2 linked regions of the Mus musculus genome follow. The protein of the gene in region 1 purifies or fractionates together with the protein of each later gene. This does not show direct contact. Links are inferred from orthologs where the notes say so. Each region holds a gene or a part of one and is shown on either strand. Other genes may lie near its edges.

What was found. The genes of interacting proteins can lie anywhere in the genome.
Region 2: the proteins of Trim33 (region 1) and Smad4 purify together in Homo sapiens (affinity purification with western blotting; 7 studies listed by BioGRID and IntAct, with this or other methods). This does not show direct contact. The link is inferred for Mus musculus from reciprocal best matches to the Homo sapiens genes TRIM33 and SMAD4.

Annotation. Positions count from the first base shown.
Region 1 is NC_000069.6:103,351,892-103,356,747, reverse strand, and holds part of Trim33 (E3 ubiquitin-protein ligase TRIM33), read right to left. Parts: intron 4,746-4,856; coding exon 4,593-4,745; intron 3,182-4,592; coding exon 3,131-3,181; intron 3,052-3,130; coding exon 2,839-3,051; 3' UTR 1-2,838. UniProt on the Homo sapiens protein: Acts as an E3 ubiquitin-protein ligase. Promotes SMAD4 ubiquitination, nuclear exclusion and degradation via the ubiquitin proteasome pathway. According to PubMed:16751102, does not promote a decrease in the level of endogenous SMAD4.
Region 2 is NC_000084.6:73,700,356-73,705,902, forward strand, and holds the start of Smad4 (mothers against decapentaplegic homolog 4), read right to left. Parts: upstream 3,437-5,547; 5' UTR 3,075-3,436; intron 1-3,074. UniProt on the Homo sapiens protein: In muscle physiology, plays a central role in the balance between atrophy and hypertrophy. When recruited by MSTN, promotes atrophy response via phosphorylated SMAD2/4.

The DNA.
Region 1 (4,856 bases):
CATAAGAAACAGAAGTGGGAAAAAGCAACCCTTTGATTCCAACGGAGATGTAATGCTTTATCATAGCTCTGTGGTAAGAGTTTGATGTTTACATATAGAACAAGGTCCATGATCTAAGCTGACCCTAACACTGTGCCCAATACAGCAGTTTGTTCACTCAGTCAAGCAGGAGAGTCAAGCGCCGAGATACGTAAGCTGATACGTAAATTAAGGCCAGCAGGGCAGGCTGAGGAACATTTATTCTTAGTTTTCTGATTGGAAAAATGACCCTAAGTTCATCAAGAACTTTGAAGGATTTTAAGGGATCATCAATAGGTGGACTTTTCCCCCCCAAATCTAAGGTACAAGTTCTAACAAAGATTATTAACATGGGGATATCATACCCACATCTGGGAGTCAACAGATTTCTGTGTTTGTATTTTAAAAATATAAATAGGGAAATGAGATAATTTGAATAAGAATTAAGTTTTTCTATTTTTTAGTCATACTTATTTTAAAGCTGGACAGCCTAGAAAACACAATGATCAGTGTGCAAAAAGGGTTTAAAGTGACCATCTTGTTGATAGCAATTTATTCCTCAGCAGCAGGATACCTTTGCTAACAAAAACGGAGCTTCCTAAACACTTGTCAGAGAGAAACTTCTAAATTGATAGTGTTAAAGGGAAACAAAACAACAAGTAACATGAGAATGCCTTTATGGAACACACGCTCTCTCAGGGTTTCAAATATTGAGAAACATTTGCTTAACAATCTGTGTTTGCTCCACTTAACAGAGATTGTTTGTAATTTACTGCTAAGAAGTTTGTAAAGGACTCACATGAGAAGCAAATAAAAAACACCGGAACCCAGAAGTGTCAGGAAATGACGTCAAACCTCTGCGCCCCCACTTGCCAAAAATGTACCCTTAGATATTCATTTACTTACAAAGTCAAATCATGGAAATCAAAGAAAAGAAATAGATATAAATAAAACATTTTAAAAATAAATTTTCTTCCCCTCCTAAAAAACAAACTTGAAACTTCAATAAAATGATAAATGATTTGAAGGTTAATTTATAAGGGAAGCTAAATGGAAGCCAGGAGATGAGGTAATAACACGATCAAGCTCTTTTAAGTGCAGTATGAAAAGGCCTAAATACTCCTCCTCTTTACCCACATCCCTTAAGAAAAAACAACCCAAAGGAATCTGTGTAATAATTTCTTTAGAGCACTTTATTTGATTCAATGCACACTAAAAATATTCACTTCTTCGACATTTACGTCAAATAGCTTTCTGAGGAGGTCTACAGTCTGAACTCCTTACTTTGAACTTTTTGAGAGGCAAATGATTTGCCACACATCTGCTGACACCTGAAATGTTTCTGATGTTGAATTCTACTTTGGTCACTTTATATTCTACTGTGTCCATACAGAAGTAGGACTACAACTCTTAATCCAGCGGAGAGGCGCACACAGTCTAGAGCACACTTGATCTGAGCGTCACAACGCAGAGGAGGAAGATAAACCCGAGCGAGCACACCTGTCTGCTGCAGGTCGGCTCCTGCCGTCAGGTAGTAACAAGGTTGGGTTTGTTCCAATTACCATTCAAGTGGGGATTGGCTCGTTCTCAGGATTTACTTAAAGGTCTCTTCTAAGTCATTCAAAGCCCCCAGTCCATGCACGTGTCCCACTTGGTGGACAGATGAGTAATCTAACCCCACCGGGTTTATTTCAGTATTTTGATATTTCAATAATAAGCTGCTTCTGAAGATTTTTTGAGACGTCTGTTCTCTATTAAAATAAGATAGAACCTCAAAATATGAATGTGAACATTAGAAATAGACAGCATATATTACAAATCCATTCTTGGTAGGAACATTAGTAAGAATACACATTAGCTTAAAAAACAGGCTCAGCAAATGTTGCTGATCTGCCAGAAGTCTGAGCTCACTATTTACAAATAAGACAAAGTGAAATACAGAAAATTGTACACATTTGGTAGCTGACAGATTTCTGTTTACCAATAGTGGTCTACTGGAAACTGGTATGAAGAAGACTAGGTTAAAGTTGTCACCTTCTCAATCTAATTAACCTACACAGAAAATTCTGAAATAAATGTCCTGCTTTCAGGGGAATGACTAACTGCGTGATCAGATGATTTGACCAGTAAGTGTAATTGTTTGGAGGGTTTTCTGGAAATGACTTCCATAAATCTGTATGATCCACTACTAAAAGTTATCATCATTTTAGTACACCACCGAAGTTGACTAAACGATCAATGGTTATGTTCCTAGACCCTACATCTAAGAATAAAATAAAACTACTGCTGAGTTCTTTAAACCAACTTAAAAACTAAGGCCAAATAGATCAAAATGAGAGAAAATGCAGTGGCATGATTCAATGCATCTTTAGTGACATTCAAGTGGAATCTCATGTACTCACTTTTAACCAGAAAACAACCCATTTGTATCTGTGGAGGGGAAGGCTTTTAAGTTATCTTGAGTACCTGTGTGCTCCAGCAGAGACACATCTCGCAGGCTTGCCCAACTCAGTATCCTGCACCAATTATCAGACATGATCATCTACATTTCTAACAGCCAGAGAACCGTCTTCATTTGTAGCAAATCCCCAAATTTTTTCACTTCTAATTTTGTTCTTAAAGTTGCAAACAGAGTTCTCTCCCCTTTTCTTGACAAGAATGTTTTCTGTTTCCATTATTTCAATCTAATACTGTATGAAAGCTACCAGCTTCTGTAAGGAGGTAAAACCACTGTACACAGGATATTCCAGCAACACTTAAATAAAAGGGTGTTTTGTTTTGTTTCCTTCTTCTTAACAACCGATTTAAGTCCGAGTCATTTTACTTTATATGTACTGGTCTCTCGTCTGACTTTAGGCGTTTTCTACGAGGCTGTATAAAATCTTCGTCAGAGTCTTCTGTTACTTCACCATCATCTTCGTCCTGCTCAAACTCTGGCAAAGGAGTGAAGGTCCTGTCTGAGTAGATCTCTGAGAGTTTATCTTCAAAGTACAATGCAACTGCTTTCCCTGCCTTAGCTACTTCTGAATCACCCTGCAAACAAAAGATAAGAATATTCACCTATTGATAATGCATATTCCTTCACCAAGTTTGCATGGTCTGAAAAGCTTACCTTCAAATTAATCTCTTGTGTGTCTGCATAAACTTGAACAACTTTCATCATCTAAAAAGGATACCAGAGTCAAAAAAAAAAAAAGGGAAATTATAAACCTTTCTAAAGTTAAGAGACTGTATAGGATTGGTGACGAAAGTCAGCCATACTAGGGAGAACAAATTGCTAAAACCAGATTAAGTGCTACCTAAAATTCTACTAAACATGGAACAACTTTCCTTACAAAACTGTTAATAAAGTTACTTTGAAACCTTAGTAACAGTCTCACTCTACACTACTGAGGTCAGTCTTAGGAGAAACTTGTCTGAAGGCATCAATCTACTCAAGAGAAAATTAGAATGCTATTTTTAAAATGGTGAAACGTTCCACAAGATAATCAGAATTCTATCTTTATGGCAATACATTAATCACAAACTAACTTTTTGTTTCGTTTGGCTTGTTTTTTGAGACAGGGTCTTCCTATATAGATCTTGCTATCCTAGATCTACTCACTATATAGACCAGGCTAGCCTGGACTTCACAAACACTTGCCAGACTCTGCCTCCCAAGTGCTATTATTAAAGGTGTGCACCACTATGCCTGGCCCAAAAGTGAACTCTTGACAGGCAGAACGTATCTTTCTGTCATTGATAGTATACAATAGCATATTCATTTGAAAATAATCTAAATTTTTAAACAGACAAAAATTCTAACTTGTAATTTGAAGTAAGATTTTACAGATATATTCTGTGGCATACTGATATCAAGGTGACTACACTTTACAGCTCATGGAGAGTTTGGTTTGTGTATTACAGTGACACCTTGATGCCACTAGAGACTGCTATGAGTAGACCTGGATTCTCATCTAGTACCATTTTCTTCTCCTATAATGAAGACAATCTTCTATAACAATATAAACTTTGACGTTACTGAAAAGATAACAAAAAGAAATTTCCCTTATAGAGAGTATCTGTCACATTTTTTTCCTTCAGTTATAGGTAAGGCATCTTTAGCTTCAGAGTTCACAAAAACTCACTGTAGAAACCAAACCCTCACCATTACATATTGAGGCCTGCAGTTTAGTCTTAACACTCTTTTTGTGTATGGCCAGTGACAGAACTAAACAATATAGGCGCTGTTAAATTTCCTGTAAGTGACCCAATGTGGGAATACATAATCCTATCCCACCAAGTTACTTAACTTCAGACTGTTTTCCTATTGAACCACATCTCCCTTTGGAAAGGGTATTCAGTAATACTCTTAGTGTCTTGTACTTAGGAATATACTCCAAACTACACATAACAATCTTTCTTCTCTAGAGCTGAGGGGGGAAAAAAGCAAATTTCGCTTTTATAGAATAGAGAAAAGGGGGAGGGGGAGAAACAACCAAATTAGTTGGTTCTTTCAACAGGGGGTTAAAAAAAAAACAAACAAGCAGAAGAAAACTAATAGCCAATACTCTATAGGTTGGAAGCTAACATACTTCATTAAACCTTTCACAGTTCTTGAAGATCAAACGGACATCAGCCACAAAGTCATCTGGGATTTGGTAATGCTGGGAATGTTTTTTCTGAAGCTTCTTCTTCACCGTTGATAAATCCATCGGTTTCTTTATAATTTTATAGTAGTTTGGTATCTAAAAAATAAATCATGGCAGGTCAGAATTCCCCAAAATATCAAACTTTTGTTTTGGTTTGGTTTAGTTTTGGTTTTCCGAGACAGGGTTTCTCTGTGTAGCCCTGCCTAC
Region 2 (5,547 bases), on another chromosome or scaffold:
CTGACTGATACAAACACAGTTGTCTCTAGTGTGTCTGACCGGTGGACCTTAGCAACCTCAGCACCTGAGCACAGCAGTGTAGTTTTACATAAGCACGTACCATACTTGTTCGTCCTTAGCTATCCTAGTCGTCAATTTCATATTCCAAATACATTTTCCTGGATGCCAGCTACATCATGTAGTAGTGTCAAGGTGACACAATCTAAAATATCTTGTTTCTGAGAAGCTGGTATTCAGCCAAATTTTCCATTACCAAAATTACACATTTTAAAATAAAGGGAAAAAAAATCCAACAACTCTAAATGTGCCTCATTAGCATGAGCTGAGGATATTACAGTATCATAACAGAAGTAGCTCATATGCATGCTATCTATACATATTTATCAGTTATCTGAATGTCTACCTTAAGTGAATCTTAATCAGCAGATGGGGGAAAGAACTAAGTAATCTGAGAAAGCGGTACTAAATGTGACATCCGCTCTAACTTCAGCTTCCACTTAGCACAGAAACAATGACAGCCTTTAGTCGGGTTAGCTGTATACCTGACTGAGGACCACCTGAGTCAGTCCTCCTCACGGCTTTAACCCAGCACAGTGGAGGGCCGGGGTATCCAACCACAAGGAAGCACTGAGAAAGCTATTACAAGATGCTTATAAAGAGACACTCATTCTGGGTGAATCAAAAATGAAAAGAAAAACAAAAACCTAGGCATCAACTAGATGGGGGACAAAATAGAACTGAAGTAGGTAATATTTCATCAAAAACAAAAAAGAAAAAAAAAAGGATTGTGCTCTCATCTAGAGATCAAATTTTAAAGAAGCCCAAATATGCACTTTAGATTTAACCAACTCTGCAGACTCTGCAGGGTTAACTGCCCTGGTACAGGCCCCAGCTATGCACAGCTCAATTAGAATAGTGTGTGCCAATGTTACTATAACTCTGGCTCAGTTAGAAAAATAAAAAAACAGGTTCTAACGGGGGGGGGGGGGGGGGGGGATCCTGCATAAAGTATTTTACTATTCCACCATTAATACGGCCCCTCCCCCGTGTGTGTGAAGCAGAGAATCCAGAGACAAAACTCACCAACAGAAACACTTGAATTAACATGTAGCATACATGAAAATGACCTTAAAGAAAGAGCAAGATCTGTACAACTCATATAATCAGAACTATTTCAAGAGCAAAACCATCAGGGAAGTTCAGGTCCATATAAAACACACGCCAAATCACTGCACTGACTTGTTTAGCACAAATTTTCCTTAATTCTGTAAACACAATTTTAATTCTTCCCAACTTAAGATTTACAGTGGAAGCATTTAGTCCAAAAGTGTCAACTACATCTTCAAAAACAAAAATATGTAATACCCCTTTAATGCATACTCACTCAAAAGCCTAGAAAGCAAAAAAAAAAAAAAAAAAAAAAAAGCCACCTGTCTTAAGACAGTGACAAAAAACTAAAAACCTTTATGTCAATTCTCTTTGGAAAGGATTTGTTTTAATTCCGGCAATTGAAGCCTACATAATTCATCACATCAGAAGCTGCTTCAGGCTATGGGTATTAGTCTGCCTCGGTGCATGTTTGTAACCAGGTCACTGAAGAAAACACACTCCTGAGCCTATGAGCACCGTGTCGCAATTTTGTATCCCAGCTCCGGAGAAGCTGAGAGACACGGATGGTCAGGAGTTGAAGAGAGGAGCAGGAAGCCCTAGAGACTCATGACAGTACACTGAACAAAGCATTAGGGAGAAACTGTATTTTAAGAAATATTAAAGCAATCATTTACACTCTGAAATAACACGTACTAATCCTACCAGATAGATCCAAGAGATAGAGTCTACAGTAGGGAGAAGTTTACTTCTCTGAATAGCCTATGCTACATACATTTCAACTGCAAGCGCTTCATATCCTGAATGCAAGGTAAACCTGTAAAATCTGTAACAAAAACTATTCAAATGCGGTGCTTGAAATCTAATTGCTTTGTGGAATTTATAATAGATTTCTGTACATTCAGTTAAGATTCCACACGGTTTGTGTCAGCAGAAAGTCCTGAACCTGATTCTTAAAACGTTCAAAGTCTCAAGCTACTACTGAGAGGAAAAGGATGCTAAATCTGGCAAAATTCAACGATTGTTAAAAAATTAAGCGAGATTACAAGCCTGCAGAACACGAATTCAAGGTACTTAAAATAACTCCCTCTTTATCTCGTTACTTTATTTCTAAGTAAGTGACAATCCCACCTTAAGTTATCAGAAACTGAAGGCACTGATAAATTCTAAAATGAATTACCTGAAAACCAACTTTAAAAATTAAGTTTACTCCAGGTTTTGTGGGGTGGGGCAGTGGGGAGGAGCTATCAATAAACAGGGCTTTTTAAAACCTCTGGCAAAGGAACCTTTCAAGTTAACTAAACACGCCCTTGTCTTTGAAAATCTGGCTTGAGAAATCATAACAGCAGTTTGGGGTGCTGAAGCCAACGCCCTCCACCCTCCACCAATTTCACGCTCCGTGCATGTAGCCCTAACAATAAAATAAACTACGCCTTTTATTAGGAGACACGTTTTATTAGGGGAGGGTGGTTCAGTTTGGCGCTAAGAGTGTCTCCCGCACGCCGCCATCACCCACAATACCCAAAAAGTAAACAAATCAAAGCTACAAACGTAAACTCAGAGCACACAACCAGGAAGAGAAAGTGGGGACAAAGAGAAAACAAACACTTGCTGGGGGGTGGGGGAGGTGGGGAAGGCACGAGGACCCGACCCGGGGCACCCCGGGCATAACGCACTCGGGCCGGGCCGACGCGACGGCCCGGGCCGCGGCCAAACTCCTCCCGAACAACAAAGAGCGGCGGCACGGACGGGGACCGGCGACCGAGTTCCCGGGACGGCGGGCTCGCCTAACTGCGAGAGGAGTTGGGGCCCGGGAGCCACGCGCGGGCACGCGAAGCCCCGGACGCGCGGGGGCGACCCACCCGAGCCCCGCTGGGCCCACGCTCGCGCCGGTCGCCGCGGGAGCCCGCCCCGGGGCGGGGAAGCGCGGGCGCCGAGGCCCCGGTTAGGGGAGGACCGCGCGTTACCTGGGCTCCGCGCCGCACCGCGCCTCGCCTCGCTGTCGCTTCCCGGGCCCCGCCCGCGGCGTCCGGCCCAGGCGGCCCCCTCTCCCCGCCGCGCCGCGGACCGCGCCGGCCGGCCGGGCCGCTGGAGCTCCGGAGCCGCCCCGCTGCGGGGGGCCTCGCTCGCGGGCGCCGGCTCCGGTCACGCGCTCCCGCCCCGGGGACGGCCGCGGAGCGGAGCGCGGCGCGGGAAGGGCCTCCGGAGGACGGCGGGCGGGCGGGCGGACGGACGCGAACACGGGCTCCGCCACCCGAGCCGCTCCGTTACCGCAGCGGCGACGACGACCAGGGCCGTGTTGTTGCTGCCAACTTGTCGGAAGGACACTGAGCATGCGCGCGCGGAGACCACATCCGGGTAATTTCAGGGTTTGGCCCTTCCCTCCCCCGCTCCCCTCCCGCAGCGCTCCTTTCTCCCCGCTGCCCCCGCCTCCCGCCCAGAGCAGGGAGGGTCCCAGTGCGCAGGCGCCCGCGGGCAGCCCGGCGGCTCTGGCTGAGTTTGAGCAGCGAGCGAGCAACGGCGCCGGAGGGGAGTCGCCTTTTCGCAGGATGCCCTCTTCAGACACGGAGTGCGGTTCACAGAGTACCCAAGCAGCGTGGGACAGCTCGGGATGAGCGATGGGCAGGCCCGCCGGGTTGGGTTGGCTTTTGAAGACCTTGGTGGACACAGCTGGACCGAGTGCGGGTGTTTGTAGCAGTTTACTTCCGAGCGGATCTCTCACTCTGTCCCTTTCATCACACCGGCTCCAAAAGGTTGAGCTCGGAGGCGCGCGCGACAGTCAAGGAGTCACATTCCAGGGCCTAGCCCGAGGTGGCCAAACGTGAGCAGTTGGGAAAGAGGCGGGAATTTCGAGTTGGAGGCGACCTTCAAGACTTGCTTAAGTGTACACCTGCTAAATAGGTTGTGCAGGCTGGGATGTAAAGAAAGCTCAGTTTCAGAACTTCACACCTTACAAAACAAGTCAAAACTACCTCTCATTACTTAAGTGGTCCGCTATCTAAAACTTTCAGGGCAACGTAAAGGGACAGTTCAAAATTTGTTGTCCATATACAAAGCCCTGGGTCCATCCCACCACAAAAGTGGTGCATTTGGTGGCAAAAGGCCCGTCTTTGATTTTGACTTTGTACTTACTTTCTTGTATAATTTTATGAATATTGTACTTAGTAGCTAGAACACAAGCCTGCCGTATAGTCCCTGGCTTTAAATCACAGCCCATGCATGTAAATCTTAGCCCTTGGGAAGCAGAGACAGAAGGAGCTCCAGCCTGGTGGATTTACGTGGCAAATTTCAAACCAGGACTAAATAGACAGACCCTAACTTTAAATTTATTCAGACGTCTAGGAAACATGAATTATATGTTGTCTTTTTGTTTCCTTTTTCACCTTCCCTCGGGGTTCCTTCTAGTACAGCTGTTAGACCAAGTCATTTCTTAAGTCTGTTGGAGAAACTTTACAACACACACCAATGTGTAACACTGCCCCCCCAGGGTAAGCCAAAGGGACAATTCAAAAGTTGATGTCTGCAATGAGAAAATAAATCACTTAAATGAATCGATAGTAGAATTTCCTTCACAAATCCAATTCTTCATTGTCATCAAAATTGATAGGTGCAGTACAAATTGAGTTATATATAAAAAGAGAGAGAGAGAGAGATATGAAGTTAGGAAAAGGATATTCCAGTGGGGGAGTCCAGGAGCTGTTGTAAGAAAGCCTGGAGTGGATAAGATCTATATACAATGTATAGATACATGTATGACACTCTCAAAGGATACAACTTTAAAGATTGAAGGAAGATCTTTCAGCTGGCAGATCATTAAAACTGGTTGTAGATCAACTCATGACCCTTTGGATGCTCCTGAAAGAAGAATATTAAAACTAAGTTGTCTTACTATCTATCACTCAACTTCTATTCCATCTGTAACAGGTATTTATGACTGTATAGCACGGTACACTTTAGAAGGTTAAAGCAGTACACCTACTGTTCCTGCGGTGTCCAGGCACTGGTCCTCTACAGAAGCAAGACCCCCCCCCCCCCAGGAAAGAAGACTCATTCCCTCACACAGGTGTCGTCAGCATCCACTGCCCGGAGACCACAGGGCTGGAGGTCTCAGTCTCTTGCTGCCTGTCAGCTAGAGGTCCTCCCAGGGACTCTACAACAGTGGTTCTCGGTCTATGGGCCATGACCCCTTTGAGGGTCTACCCACCTTTCACAGGGGTCGCATATCAGATATTATGCACATTAGATATTTATATTAGATATTTATATTACAATTCATAACCTCAAAATTACAGTTATGAAATAGCAACAAAAGTAACTCTGTGATGGTGGGGGGGGGGGTGACCACAACATGAAACCCCCTATTAAAGGTTTGCCGCAGTACGAAGGTTGGGAAACACTGCTGCAGAAGAAGTTTCAGTATGGTGGCTTGCTTCTTCAGAG